Diceros bicornis minor: one gene and its partner. The protein of the gene in region 1 purifies or fractionates together with the protein of each later gene. This does not show direct contact. Links are inferred from orthologs where the notes say so. Each region holds a gene or a part of one and is shown on either strand. Other genes may lie near its edges.

Evidence for each region. Proteins that work in one complex are often made in the same cells at the same time.
Region 2: the proteins of RAD18 (region 1) and POLH purify together in Homo sapiens (affinity purification with western blotting; 7 studies listed by BioGRID, with this or other methods). This does not show direct contact. The link is inferred for Diceros bicornis minor from reciprocal best matches to the Homo sapiens genes RAD18 and POLH.

Annotation. Positions count from the first base shown.
Region 1 is NC_080741.1:71,256,043-71,263,987, reverse strand, and holds the start of RAD18 (E3 ubiquitin-protein ligase RAD18), read right to left. Parts: upstream 3,020-7,945; 5' UTR 2,949-3,019; coding exon 2,898-2,948; intron 1-2,897. UniProt on the Homo sapiens protein: E3 ubiquitin-protein ligase involved in postreplication repair of UV-damaged DNA. Postreplication repair functions in gap-filling of a daughter strand on replication of damaged DNA.
Region 2 is NC_080753.1:22,200,870-22,208,261, forward strand, and holds the start of POLH (DNA polymerase eta), read right to left. Parts: upstream 3,022-7,392; 5' UTR 2,581-3,021; intron 1,671-2,580; exon of another isoform or gene 596-1,670; 5' UTR 448-595; intron 1-447. Other genes in the region: XPO5 (exportin-5), read left to right, coding at 3,160-3,264, 4,908-5,029, 5,946-6,018, 7,333-7,392. UniProt on the Homo sapiens protein: DNA polymerase specifically involved in the DNA repair by translesion synthesis (TLS). Due to low processivity on both damaged and normal DNA, cooperates with the heterotetrameric (REV3L, REV7, POLD2 and POLD3) POLZ complex for complete bypass of DNA lesions.

The sequences.
Region 1 (7,945 bases):
AACATGCTTTCAAAGAACAATTAATGCCATGGGAAAATGTTTATGTTTTAAAGGAAACTTTAAAAAATCAGAGAACAAATCTACGACAATAATGCATAATAATAGAACTATATAGTTTAATCTCATAACAATCTTAGGAAGTCTATAGCATCTGTATCCCAGTTTTATAGATGAAGTCTACAGAGCTTATAAGTGGCTGGATCAAACTCAAGAAATTGACTCCAAAGTGACCCCAAATTTTAAATGCATATACACATTGCAGGTATGTGTGTGCACAAGGCACACACAAGAAAAACTAAAGGAAAATAGAAAACGTTAAACAGTGGTTATCTCTGGATGGTAGGATGATGGGTAATTTTCATTTTCCCCTTTATCTTATTCTGAATTTTTATGTTTTTCTACTATACACACATGCTACATTTATAATCTGTCAAAAATAGAAATTTTTGTTACAATAAAACTAGAGAAATAAACATTAAAATGCCAAAATCTTCCATTATTTTGGATGGTAAGCCAGCACTGACACAAAAAGCTGGATTGTGTTGAAGACCAGTTAAGAGCAGAGGCAGGGCTGGAAGCCAGAGCCCTGGCCTCAACTCTGTTCAACTTGCTTCTACATAACCATCCTCTTCCAGAGGAGTGGCTCTGATAGATCTGCTGAGCGAAATTTGTGGAAGGTGACACCGCATCAAATGAGTTGTAACAAGCCTGTATAAATTTCTAGTCATGCCATTTCAAGCCAGTAACATGCATACCACGTGTGCCTCAACCAAAAAAAAAAAAAATAGCCTGAATAGAGAGCGGTCAAGTGGATTGCCCAGGATTTCTTTAACTTAGAGAGACAAAGTAAAAAGGGGAAGTGGGGAACGGGTGAAAAGACTAAATAATTAGAGCAAAGGTTCTTAAGTTTTTTGGGTCACAGATCCTTTTGAAAAATGGATGAAAACTATGGACTCTCTTCTCAGAAAAACATACACATAGACAAAAATTTTATAAATAATTCCAGATACCAAAGTCTTTCCATGGATCCTAGGTCTGGAACCAAGGATTCAGGAGTCAGATTTCTATTCAACATAAGAAAGAACTTCAAACAGAGCTACTTCTGGGAGCAGGTAGTTCTTCGTCCCTGGAAGAGTTCAAGCAAAAGCTAGATGAGAAATTGGCAGATATGCTATAAAAGGGATTAAAATACTGGAGGGAGCTGGCTTTCCAACCTTAAGATACCATGATTCTAATATGGGCTCAATCAACTCCATCACTGAACACTCTCTGGTGCTGTCCCTGTATTAAGTGCTGTGGTGAGATACCAAAACCAGAGGAGACGTGGAACGTGCCTCTAAAAAACATGTGGAATATATAAATATGTAAAATATGCTTAAATCTACAAAGCAAGTGCTTTACAAGTTACAGAGCTTTCACTTCCTTTATCCAATTCACTCTTCATAACAAGAAATACAAAGGAGGGGGGAAACACTTAACACGTTAAGGGCTAATAACAATAATAAAGATATATAATTGAATGCTTACTACCTTCCAGACACCTTGAATCAATTAGCAAACAATTTCTGAGCATCCACTATGTGCCAGGCACTCAGTTACGCACAATGAAAAAAGCCAAACAGGATCCCTATCCAGATACATCAATTCATTTAACCAATCCTATAAACTGTTTATTTTTGTCTCAGATTTAGAGTTGAGGAAATTCAAGCTCAGAGAGGTTAAGTAAGTAACTCACCATCACACGGTAAATAAGAGGCAGAGACCAGATTTAACTCAGGAGCACTGAAACTCAAATCTATGCTCTTCTCCATTGCAGCTTGGTGCCAAGGCCACCACAACTTCAAAACTACAGCTTTCGTGGATCCTTCCACAATGTCAGCTTTTCACCATGGGGATATCTCAAGGCCCCAAGCACTGTAGATGACACTGATGACAGCAGGACGAACAAGGCCTTATACTTACTTTAACTTCTCTCAAGTCCCCTTACTTGACTCTCAAAATCAGCCTTACGAGTCTGTGGGACAGATACCATAATCCCCAAGTTTACAAAACTGACGAACAAAACGAGAACTCGATCTTGCCCACAGCCACAAACTGAAATAATCACAGAGCAGGGAGCAAAACCAAGCAACTGATTCTTAGGTAACACAGCAAAGTGTATTCGCTCTTGACTAAACCTAGCAGGAATCCAGGGATCACCACTAATATAAATGGAAACTGATATGCCTTGCTAAAAACAAAGTAGCCACAAAAATGTGTTATTTAAGTGAAATAATTCAATGAAATGAAAGGCTAGTGCTGAGCCTGAGTCCTGATCTCTTTGTTTAAAAGAGAGATGCACAACTGTTAGGAGTTAGGACACATTAGGGAGGAGTTAGGACAAACCAGCGCTAGGCTTCCAGAGTCTAATTAGAAGAAACCAAAGAGAATGTAAAGGAGACTACCTGCTTCGCTAAGTGATTAAATAAATGTTATTTGATGCAGGGTCCACCCAAAATCACGTCTGGTGTCACTTTGGGAAATCTCAACCAACATACTACGAGAGTTTACATAATGCTTAGCAGATAGCAAGCCCTCAGGAAGGATTAGTTGTCATTGTCGTTCTCATTGTTGAGAATAACTGTTTTTCTCGAGGTCAGTGTTATGGTTGTGGCTGAACCGCAGAATACCCGGTTCCATACGACGGCCAACTTCAACTCACGTAAGGGACCGAGGCCTGTCCCTGTTACTTCTCAGGGGAGGAAACTGAGGCGCAGAGCCACGCAGTCGGCAAGCGGCAGAGCAGAGCCGGGTACCCTGGCCCAGCTCCCTGCTCGCGCCTCCTCCCTTCTCCTCCTCAAGGCGGGGCAGGCCTCCCGCGGACACCCGGGCGCCCCCAACCTCCCCGAAGCACTCACTTTCATGACTGCCAGGCCTGGAGGCCACCGAGGCTCAACTACGGAGTCCATGGTCTCTCCTACGGAGGCTGGGGGTCCGCCAACCACTGGCCTCTCGCGCTCCACTGCCACTCGAAATTCCCCGCGCTACTGAGCTACGTCAGTATTCCGCGACGCGCCAAAACCGTGCGCAGAGCCTGCCGGGAGTTGTAGTACGTGGGCGGAGCTCAGCCAAAGATGCTCTCACTGCGCACGCGCTAGGCTGCTGCTTGGCAGCTTGCGACAGGAGGTGAGTAGTTAAAAAGCCCACATCCGGTTTTGTACCAGACCTTTAATAAATAAATGCCTGTTGAATATTGGAAAAGACAACCGGGAATCAAACTAAATCCAGGCCTTGCCAAATCTTTCAAAGTCTAGACTCATGCCTCCTTCTTCGAGTCACCCTCCCTGATTGCTCTAGTGATCTATCCTTGCCCTGAGCAGGGGATTTCATACATGTTATTTCATCTCACCCATCACAGCACGAGGAGGTAGGTATTATTGTTAGTTTACACAGGAGGAAGCTTCGGCTCAAAAACGCGAATAGGCTGTCATTGCGTCACGCGGTGTCACTGACCAGACTACAAATAGGGCCTCGAGACTTCATATGGGAGCTCTTTTATGAATTTAAAATTTTAACTTCAAAGGTTAAAGGTAAGGTGGTTAGAGATAACCACCTTAACTTTGTGTAGCCTTCCAGATATTTCCTATTCAGATACATAGATACGATTTTTTCCACAAATGTTATTATATTAAATGCATAGCTCTATCAACTTGAGTTTTTCTGTTTATTTAATCGTACATCTTGAGACCTCTCCATGTTAATACATATAGGTTTACCTCATTCTTTTTAATAGCTGCATGGTCCATAGTATAGATGTAACACAATTTCTTTATCTACTCCCGTACTGAGGAACATTTAGGTTGTTTTCAGTTTTTCACTATTGCAAAGAGTTGCATTGAACACACTATATAAATCTTGGCATACTTGAGCCTGGATATCTGGGAGATGATTTCCTATAAATGGAACTACTAAGTATATTTGGATGCTCTATTAAAACTGTGATAGCTAGCACTACATGATTTTTCCAAAAAGGCCATACCAATACATTTACGTTCTTACCAAGAGTGCCCATTGTCCAAATGTGAAGCACTGACCAGCGCACCACCCAGCGTGTCTGCTCAATTCAGCACTCGTCCACTGCCCTAGGTGGGCCTCCATTGCATCAGGTCTCATGGGCAGCAAGTCAGCAGTCATGTTGCTCAGGGCAGACCCCTGCAGCTTGCCACTGCCCCCTCATGTGGTCCATGCACTCATTCATTCAACAAATATTTTTCTAAGTGCTTCCATTGGGCAGGCACTCGAGCTTCCCTGTGAAGTCGGCAGAGGTAAGGTTATTATTGCCATTTTACAGACAAGGACACTGAGGCTCAGAGAGGTTAAGTCTTCCATCCTTTGGGCTGTCATCATAAGGAACCTCTGGCCTCTGAGCCAGAGCTGTACTCTACTGATTTTTCCCAGCCTGTGCCCAAATACTCAGTGGGCAATAATAATAATCTTAGCAGCATTTGGACAAAGGACTTTAATATCCATTAAAACAATAGCTGACATTTGTTAGACACTTGTATGCAAAGCACTGTTATAGGTGTTTTTACACATATACACTTACTTCAGATTCACTCCAACCAAATGGGAAAAGGGAAGGAAACAGGAAACTTACATAGGGCACTTTGCTGGTGAGAGGAAAAGGAAGGATTTGGACTTACCAAAGTGGGACGACACTATAAAATGGATGATCTGCAAAGTCCTCTCTGAGAAGGTGACATTTGTTCTAGGACCTAACTGATAAGATAGAGGCCACCATGCAAAGACCTAGGGTGGAAAGTTCTAGACCTTGGTAAAGAGTTTGGATTTTAATCCATGTTAACTCTCAGGCCAGCTATTGAACCTTTCTGTGCCTCAGTTTTCTCATCTGTAAAATGGGGATGATGATAATAGTACTTGTGTTATAGGGATGTTGTGAGAATTAAATGAGCTATTGTAAGTCAAGTGCCTAGAACAGTGCCTGGCACCTAAGGAGCACCGTGTAAGTGTCAGCTGTTGTTGTTGCTATGTTGCTCTAAGCACAGGAGGAAGCCCCTGGAGGGTTTCAGGCAGGGAGGTAACATGATCTGATTTACATTCTCAAAAGGTCACTCTAGCTGCTGAGTGAAGAAGGGGTTTTAGGGGGAAAGAGCAGAAGTACCAATCAGGAGGTGGTGACAAGGGGTTGGACCAGGGTGGCGGCAGTCAGGAGAGGTGGAAGTGCTGTGGGCCCCGTGCTTGCTGTGGACTCACAGTAAGGCCTTGCTTTGTCCCTGTGACCAGGCCCCATCCTGATCCTCCTAGACGTGGACCTGCCTTGTTCTCACCAGTCCCTTCCACCTTGGAGCCCAGCCCTAGGGCCAGGAGGCATAGTTTACATTGACGGACTGTGTCCATCACCTGCTCACCTGCCTGTTAGACCAGCAGCTCTGGGAGCTTCTCCCTGAGACTGGTTACCTGCCTGTCACCACAGCATCCTCTTAGGAGGTGTCCCAACTCCTCCTATTGATACTTGCAATAAGTGTTTACAGAGAACTCACTATATGCCCAGGCAAGGGGGACAAGCAGTAAATTAAACAAACAATATCTGCCCAAATCACGATCTACAAATGGGAAGAGCTTTGAGATCAGAGAGGAAGAACTTTTAAGAGAGGGAGCTGTATTAGTCAGGATTCTTTTGGTTACAAGTATTGAGTTAGATTGCCAACTCAAAATGGCCTAATCAAAAAAGGGAATATATTAGCTCATGTAACTGAAAAGTCCAGGAGTAAGTATTCAGGTGTGGCTTGATCCGGGTGTCATCAGATTGGGCTCTTTTCCTTCCTCTCAATCTGTCTTTCTTAATGCCTTATATCTGTTTTCCTCAGTGTTGGCTTATTGCTCAGGCAGACTCCTCCCATGTGGTGGCAAGCATGGCCTCCAGATGCTCCAGGCCTATATTCTACTAGCACAACTGCTTCAGCAGAAAGAAAGCACGTCATTCCCAACAGTCCCCAGCAAAAGTCCCAGGACTGAATCTCATTGGCCAGAATTGGGTCACATGCCCATCCTTGAACCAATCATTGTGCCTCTGATTGTCTAGGTCTGAGTTTGGGGGTAGGAGTGGATGCCCCAAATGAACACAGGGGTGCTGTATAGTCAAAGAGGGAATGGATGCCTATAAACACGCAGATTGCAAAAATGGTTGCAAATTCCTCTCCTTCCCATATCTACACCTCTTCACAGTATGACTCCTTCCAAGAAGTGGATCTGTTTCTCTGCTCCTCGAATCTGGGGGCTTGGTCATGTGACTTGCTTTAGCCAGTGCGACATTAACAAAGGTGAGGCAAGCAGAGGCTTGTGAAGTACCTGTGCACTGGAGCTGGCCCTCTCCTTGCTGCTCTTGGGAGCCTTCTAACCACCACCATGTGAACAAACCCTAACGATCCTCCTGGATGATGAGAGACAGGTGGCCAAGCCATCTTTGTCACCCCAGCTGACATTGGGCCACCTACAAGACGTGAGTGAGGCCGTCCTAGATCATCCAGCCCCAGCCAAGCCACCTGCTTACCACAGAGATCAGCTCAGCCAGCCCTGACCAGAAAACTGCTCAACATACCCACAGGATCTGGTAAATAATAAATGTTGATTATCTTAAGCCACTAAGTTTGGGGATGGTTATTACACAACAATGACTAACTGCTACAGTGACCCTCCGCAGCAGTCTTCTGCCTGTCCGGAGCCTGGCTTTGGAGGCCCCAGATACAGAAGGGCTGGAGCCCCAGTCCCGCGGTCCCTCCTCTCCCCCATAGCAATCTTCTCCTGCTCTCTTTGATCCCAGGACTTATCTACAGTCTGCTTCCAGTCTTCTGCTGAACTTGATGGGTGCCGGGGACAGGACAACCCTTCCTGTGAAGAGCAACTCTTATGCAACTCTCCCTGTCTCTGTAGGCTCCCAGCCATTCCTCCTTACAAGCAGGCAGCCATCTACCTGGAACGAATTGAAGAGTGTGTAGCTGAGTCCTCGGCCAGAAAACCTCCACCATCTGTCATGGTGTCTGGAAACCCCCCGCTCCCCCCCACCACAATTTAAGCTCCAGTTCTTTGGTTTTCAAAGGCTGTTTGGATTCCCGGATCCCCCTGGGAGAGTTGAATGTTTCTCTAGGGGTGCTAAAGCAGAGTACCCCTCTTATGTTACAGCAGAAACACACTATATGTAATGATTTCGTCTTCCCAATTAGACCACCCGTGCCCTAGCACAGCTCTGAATGTAGTAGGGGCCCAACAAATGCTCACTGGGTGGATCACCTGGAAAAATACCAAATGAATGTCTGGCCCCAGAGCTCTGGGGCCCTGGGACACAGGGAGTATCTGGGGCTAAGGGAGAAAGCAAGGAACTGTGGAAAGGAGACAAGGTGGAAATCACCAAAGACAGAATTCTCACTAACCAACATGGTCTATATTGACTAAGGGGACAGGCTTGAGAGTCACACAGACCTCGGTTTGCATCCATGTTCTTCCGCTCACCGTGTGATCTTGGGTCAGTCACTTACCTTTCAGAGCCTCGATGTCCTCTTCTGAAAGATTAGAATAATAACACCTACCCCAGAGGGTTGTTATAATGATAATGCTTTTAAAATGTTGGGAAGCACCTTGCAGGGCATCTGACACATAGTGAGCAGCTGGCTATGGCAGTAGGAGTAACAGTTATAATTATTACTGTTACTGTCACTAATACGCATTATTAACCGGAGACAGAGGGCATAGAGGGTAAGAGCACCAGCTCTGAAGTCAGACTGCCTGGGTTCACATCTCAGCTCCTCCGCTTACTAGTGCATGGATTGTGGTCTCCAAATGCTGTACCCAAGAAAAAGATTCAGGGCTCTTTGGGGACATGGCTGATTTTAGGTCTGGGGCAGAGTAGGTGCAGGATGAGCCTGGAGCATTGTATTGTGCCCCCAAACAA
Region 2 (7,392 bases), on another chromosome or scaffold:
ATGCAAATTAAAACCACAATGCACGTCAATAGAGGGATAAAGCCAACAGTTAATCTAGTTGATAGACAAATCTCAAGTATAAGTTCAGAGAAAAGAGAAGCAGAAAATGTTATATAACCTCATAGCATTCATGTGAATTTTTTTAAGTTTTTATTTTGAAATAATTTTAGACTTATAGAAAAGTTGCAAAAACAGTAGGGTTCTCCTACACCCAGTTGCCCCTAATGTTAACATTTTATATAGCACAATTATCAAAACTAAAAAATGAATATTGGGTGGTGAACATGAGAACATGATGTAATCCATGCAGAAACAGAAGTATAATGATGTACACCTGAAATTTATACAATGTTATAAACCAATGTTACCGCAATAAACAAAAAATAAAAATAAAAAATAAAAACAAACAAACAAAAATGAATATTGGTATAATATTCAACTACATACTTTGCTTGAATTTCACCGGTTATTCCACTAATGTCTTTTTTGTGTTTCAGGATCCAATCTAGGATCCAATCTTAGTCATCAAGTCTCCTTAGTGGTCTCCAATCTGTGACACTTCCTCAGTCTTCCCTTGTTTTTCATGACCTTGACGCTTTTGAAGAGAACTAGTCAGTTACTGTGAGACTGTCTCTCAATTTAGGTTTGTCTGATGTTTTCTCTTGATTAGATTGAAGTTACGCATTTTCAGCAAGAATATTATGAAAGTGATGTGCTCCTCTCAGTGTATCACATTGGGAGGTACAAGATGTCAATATGTCTTATTACTGGTGATGTTAACCATGATCATTTCGTTGAGATAGCGTTTGCCAGGTTTCTCACTGTAAAGTTACTACTTTTCCTTTTGTAACTGATATCTTAGGGGAGATATTTTGAGACTATGCAAATATCCTGTTTCTCCTCAAACTTTCAACCACTAAGCACCCATCAGTGGATCTTACCTATAACAATTACTTTATAGTGTTCTAATGGTGATTTTCTACCCATTCACATCAATTTTTCAAGATAAAAGAAAACAATACTTACACACTATTCATGGGTAGACATACATAAAGGTATGGATGGTAGACTGCAAGAACAAACCTTATATACTTGACAGTGGATAGAGACCAATGTTATCATTTAACATTGTTAGAGATCTGAAAGAAGGAATGTAAACTAAAGCAGTGGCTCCCAAACTTTGTTCCAAATTGGAATCACCTAGTAACATTTAAATAATATTGATATCTGGCTTCTACCACCAGACATCCTAATTTAATTGGTATGGGTGTGACCTGGGCACTGTGATTTTTAAAAGCTCTCTAGGCAGTTTTAATATGCAGTAGAGATTGGGAACCACTGACCTAAAGTAAATAAGATACTTATGGAAACACCAGTAATTCATGATTTAAATACGAGAAACACAGGTTATACAGTTGAGTAAGTACTCAACTGTATTCTAAAAAAGTGTCAAAAACTACCATTCACCTTGAAAAAAGTGGCATGCAACTACAAGTTGGAAGATTAGTGGAAAGAAAACAATAAATTAAAAAAATCAGAGTAGTCAAAGCATTGATTCCTTATAAATTCCACTCACCTAAAACAGGCAGAATGTGATACTTTAAACATTTATAAGTTAAAACCATAACATGTCAGAAATCACTTTACTTTGCAGTGGCTTTTGTGTAGTACTGGAATACATAATGCCAGAATAAAAATAATAAATGCATTTTCACAAAAAACCCAGGTAAGTTCCATATTAGATACAAATAGCAGACGGTGGAGTATGAATAGAAAGCAGTGATTTAAGTCCAGCGAACATTTTACTGAATATACAAACACAAAAACCCATATGCAGACTTTAACAGATAATAAGGCTGTTGAAGTTTTCAGTTTAGGTATTTTGCTGGAGAAAGCAAGAGCTTTTTAAAGCAAGAGCTTGCTGGAAAATGAAACACTCTCTGTAAAAACCCTCCTTTCGGAAGGATTACACTACTTTGAAGTCTTATATACAGCATTTCAAGTGATCAAAACTGCACAAACCTTCAATAATTTATCTTTATTTTTTTGTGTGGAAGATTAGCCCTGAGCAAACACCTGATGCCAATCCTCCTCTGTTTGCTGAGGAAGATTGGCCCTGGGCTAACATCCGTGCCCATCTTCCTGTACTTTATATGTGGGACGCCTGCCACAGCATGGCCTGACAAGCAATGCGTCGGGCCACGCCCGGGATCGGAACCTGGGAACTCCGGGCCGCGGAAGTGGAGCGCGCGAACTTAACCGCTGCGCCACCGGACCGGCTTCATCTTTAAATATCGCCATTTATACCAATCAGTACAAAACAAGTTTGGTGCTGATCAGGTAATAACACATCCAAGGAAAAGCAGTACAAGTGAAGAGCTACGGAAAAAATATAGTTTCCACAAGAAAAATGCTCTTAGAGGATAATACCAGGGCTTATCTCTCAGTGAGCATGTATTTCTAATTCATGTAATTCCGGCCCAACGTTGTCACTGGCCACTGCTATATCATAAAACCAACAGCCAAGGCAACATGCAAAGTCTGAAAACAGTGATACCGAACGGTTCTAAATTCTCTTACCAAGGTGACGAACGCCGGGCAAAACTGCCAACCGCGGACGCCGCCGATGATGGGCTGGGGGTCCACTGGAAGACGAAGGGATCTGCAATATCTGACCCCTTTCCAGGAGCGGGCCAGTTTCTGGTTTCGAGTGAGATTTATTCCCCGTAACGACGGAGGAACGGACCAAGGGTCGCAAAGGATCAGTGCTCGGGCAGGCGCCGCACAGCCGGGTGGGTCCAGCCCAGGGCGGGGCACCCAGCTGCCAGCCCGCCTGACAGGGATCGAACTGCGCGCGCGCCGCGAAGGGCCGTTGACGCGCCTGCGCACCGCGGCCCTTCCGTCTCCCGCCCCGCCCACCGAGGAGTAACCGTACCAGAGAGCCCCCACTTCCGCGGGCGCGTGCGCAGTGGCGAGTCGGGCGCGTGCGCAGCGCCGGCTCCTTCCCCGTGGAGCTTCTGCCGCTCACGCTCCTCCTCCCGCTCCCCACCCCTCAGCCCGCCGCGGCCCGGTACCAGCGTGGGTCCCGCCAAGGGAGCCGTCCGTCCCTCGTGCTCCTGGGACGGCTGTGGTGGGCGCTTGCGGCACGAGTCACTAGCCATGGCGATGGATCAAGTGAACGCGCTGTGCGAGCAGCTCGTGAAAGCGGTGACGGTCATGATGGACCCCAGCTCCACCCAGCGCTACCGGCTGGAAGCCCTCAAGGTAGCTGGGGTCTGGCGACCTGGGCCTGCCCCGAGACCCTCGCCCAGCCCCAGGCGTCCCGGCGCCGCCCATAACCCTGGTCGTCTCCGGGCCACGAGGCCTCTGGACCTCCCTCCCCAACCCCGGGGGGCCTCCGCCTCGCCGCCCTCTGCGCCTCTTCCCATCCCCGCCTTCTCTGCTCGCCGCGCCTCCCCTTCTCCCGGGACACTCCGGTCCCTAGCTGCTTCTCATCTCACGATCACTTCCCACTGCCCTCTCCTCCCCCTTCCTCACTTCCGTTCACTTTTGTCCGCACCACGACCCTCTCCAGAGCCGTCTGCACCCATTTCATTCCCTCAAGCCCCGCATCCCCGCGTCCCCTCGCCTTCCCGTGGCGCACGTGCCCATCCCGTCCCCAACACCAGCTACATTCTTTATGATCTCCTCTGCGCTAAACGTTTCCTTGCTGACCCACTCTCCTGACCCGTCCTAATCGAGCTCCAGCCCCCCTAGCACCCCTTTACTTACATCCTTACACTTCTTGCCAACCCTTTTCTGTGTCTTGGGTATCTCTGGGCTAATTCTCACACCCCCTTCCCCCATGTTTTTTAGTCTGGGTTATTCTTAGGCTATTTTTCGCAAAGATGAACTTCCACCACTTACTTTGCATTTTAACAAGGGCGCTTTGGTTTCCTGAAAGTAGTTTTCTTGAGTCCCGGATGCTCAGCTCCTGGGACTGACTCTCGTGTTGCAATTTGGGAATGCTAATACAAATGGGGATACTAGTAGAGTACAAACTTATTCCCGCATCAAACTCTGTATGTGGGCTTTGAGAAATGACTACTCGGAAAAAACACTTGTGCTATGCCTGTTTTAACTGATGTAACTTCATAAAGTAAAGTGAGCATCACTTGGAGGAAACGTTTCGGTATTTAGATGTATGCCACAGGATTTGGAATCAGAAACAATTGGGTTCTATTAGTTTGTTTTTTGCTATGAAATACTGAAAATAGACACAAAAGTAGAATACTACAGTGATCTTGTATATACCTATCCCCTAAACTCAGCAGTTATAAAGATTTCGCCACATTTGCTTTCTCTCTTCCCCTCCACCAAAGGTTTTTAAAGCAAATGCTAGGAATTGTCATGTCACCCCTATGTACTTCGCAGGTGTATCACATCTAACAAATAATTTTTTACTCATTTAGGTCAAGAATGTTTTTCAACATTAGTTGGACATAGCATGGAAAATCTGGAACTATCCAAAGGAAAGGAATGTTTATTGGTTCTTTACTCATATAATATTGATCTAGATTTTGCAACTTAAAAATAAAGCTCAGGGCCCACCCCAGTGGCCGAGTGGTTCAGTTCAGTGTCCTCTGTTTCAGTGGCCCAGGTTCAGTTCCTGGGTGCAGACCTATACCGCTCTGTGAGGGTGCAGACCTATACCGCTCTGTGAGCAGCCATGCTGTGCTGGCAGCCCACATACTAAAAAATAGAGGAAGATTGGCGTGGATGTTAGCTCAGGGTGAATCTTCCTCAGGAAAAAAAAAATATATATATATATATTTATATATAGTTCAGGTTAGAGTTTCTTAAGATGAAGATTTTTTAGTCCCTACTGTCTTGGCTCCTAAGAGAAATGCTAACTTTTCTTCTTTCAGTTTTGTGAGGAGTTTAAAGAAAAGTGCCCTATCTGTGTCCCCTGTGGCTTGAGGTTGGCTGAGAAAACACAAATTGCCATCGTCAGACATTTTGGCCTTCAGATCCTGGAACACGTTGTCAAGTAAGGAGCTTTTGGATATTACCACCGAAGTCTGTGAGAGAGCAAATCTTTGTTTCTTATGTAACTCATAGAGATACTCTTTGGGTTAATAGAAAAGAGCAGTCCCCAAGAAGAAAGGAATGGTCCCCGAGAGGTTAGTACAGCCTCTTGGGAGCTCTCATTCAGCATTTAACCTTTCTCTTCTTCAGTTTCTTCATCCATGTAAAGTGAGTGGTACTAATACTAAGCATTCTACAAATATTAGCTGATAGTTATTCAGCCAGCTTTTATTGAGCTCTTACTGTATACCAGCCAACTCAAAGTGTTATTAGAATAATGCAATGTTTAGGTAAATAAATCTCTGATTAATCACTGTGCCTTTAAGTTTTTTTTTTTTAAGTTTGAGTGTGTGCCTTCTCTGAAGGGCAAATCCAAAGGAGGGTTATATGAGAATAACTGAAAACCCTTCCTGACTTGAGTCTCCTATGCCCAGTGCCTATCAGAAGAATCAGCTTTTAAGACTTAGCCACAGTTTTTCTGGAATTGTGCCATTACCTTGTAAGCCAGCCTGAAAGGGAGTTAGTGGTATCAAGATGGTATTTTCCAAAAAGCAACTACATTGTTGCAGTTGTCCCAGATATATTTGATTTTAGTTTGTCAGTAAAATCAAGGGGAAAAGCTAATCTGTGCACAAATCTTGTGTGGATTCCAGTTAATAGACCACTGCCTATATAAAACTCTTTCCCAAGAATTTTTCTGTTATTTTAGCATTTTGGTTAAATGTGGACTGATTTTGTCCATTCTTCGAAGGGTACAAAGTCAAAAGTATAATTTCTTAATGAAATCACCAGCATAACCTAACACAGGAATCAAAGCTAGTCTCTTATGAAGAGAAGACTTCTAATGTGGTTCTGTTGACTTTATGCATTTTGACCAGGTTTCGGTGGAACAGCATGTCTCGGTTGGAGAAGGTCTATCTGAAGAACAGTGTCATGGAGCTGATTGCAAATGTAAGGAATGGTTGATTGGAAGACTTGTGTTTCCAAGGTAGTTTAGACAAGGTGTGACTTCTTCAGTGTAGCATTTGTGTAAAAATTCACTGATTCTACAAAGGTCAAACAGCATGCTTTGTATAATATTAAATGTTAACCTTCAAGGTAAAAAGAACCACCATCACTAGAAATCATAATTCATCACATTTGTCTTACTAGGTTTAATTAATCCCTTATGTGTTGACTTCTGTTTTTAAAAGTATGAACATAGGGCAGAGGAGATTAAACTTGTTCAGCAAATGAATAAGATTCTTAGATCTAAATTAGATGGCACTTTGCTGTTTGTTTCCTTTTATTCCAAAATGAACTATGATACTAGCAATAAAAAATTGCAGAATGAATTTGTTTCAGGAGTTATAATATGACTTTAAACATGTTTAAAATCCACAGCCTTTTTTTTCTATTTTACAAAGGGCAAGAAAAGTGGAATTTTCACCCCTTTTCATCCCCAAAGTCTAGTGCCTTTATTGGAAAAAAAAAAAATCCCTTTAAAATTATTAATTAACATAGCTAGCTAGGATTTGTATTTTGCTAGTTCTGGGGAAACTTGATAGAAGTCATAATTTATTAATCTTGATATCAAAATTCGGAAGAGAGTCCCAGTAATAGTCTTTCTGTATCTTCTAATAGTAGAACTGTTGGTAAAGTTTTCAGTTGCTTCTCCTAACTCTCATTTTATCAGCCTCTCCATGTACTCCTTATTTCTATACTTCTCCCCCGACCCTCTTACAAAATGAAACAATATGAGAGTCTCTTCGGTTTGTAAAGGAGAGCAGTGATGTCCTCCTTGCTCTGTGTGACAGCCATTTTATTAGCTGATGCAACCCTCCCTTAAGCTTTAAGTGGGCAGAATGATTAGTGAGAATGCAGGACAAGTGACTCAGACATGGAGAACAGGTTTGTTTATTTTGGTTAGTTTCAAAGCAGGCCTGCTGATGAGTTTTGTACACTTTTACAGCCCAGGTTTTTACCTTGAATGCAGTCTTTCAGACTTATCTCTTTTTTTTTTTTTTAAAGATTTTATTTATTTTTTTCTCCCCAAAGCCCCAGTAGATAGTTGTATGTCATAGCTGCACATCCTTTTAGTTGCTGTATGTGGGACTCGGCCTCAGGATAGCCGGAGAAGTGGTGCCTCGGTGCGCGCCCGGGATCCGAACCCGGGCCACCAGCATCAGAGCGCGCGCACTTAACCACCAAGCCACAGGGCCGGCCCTTTTTTTTTTTTTTTTTTAAATTTTATTTATTTTAGACTTATCTCTTGTTCTTTTTCAGGGAACACTGAACATTTTGGAAGAGGAGAACCATATTAAAGACGTCCTGTCTCGAATTGTA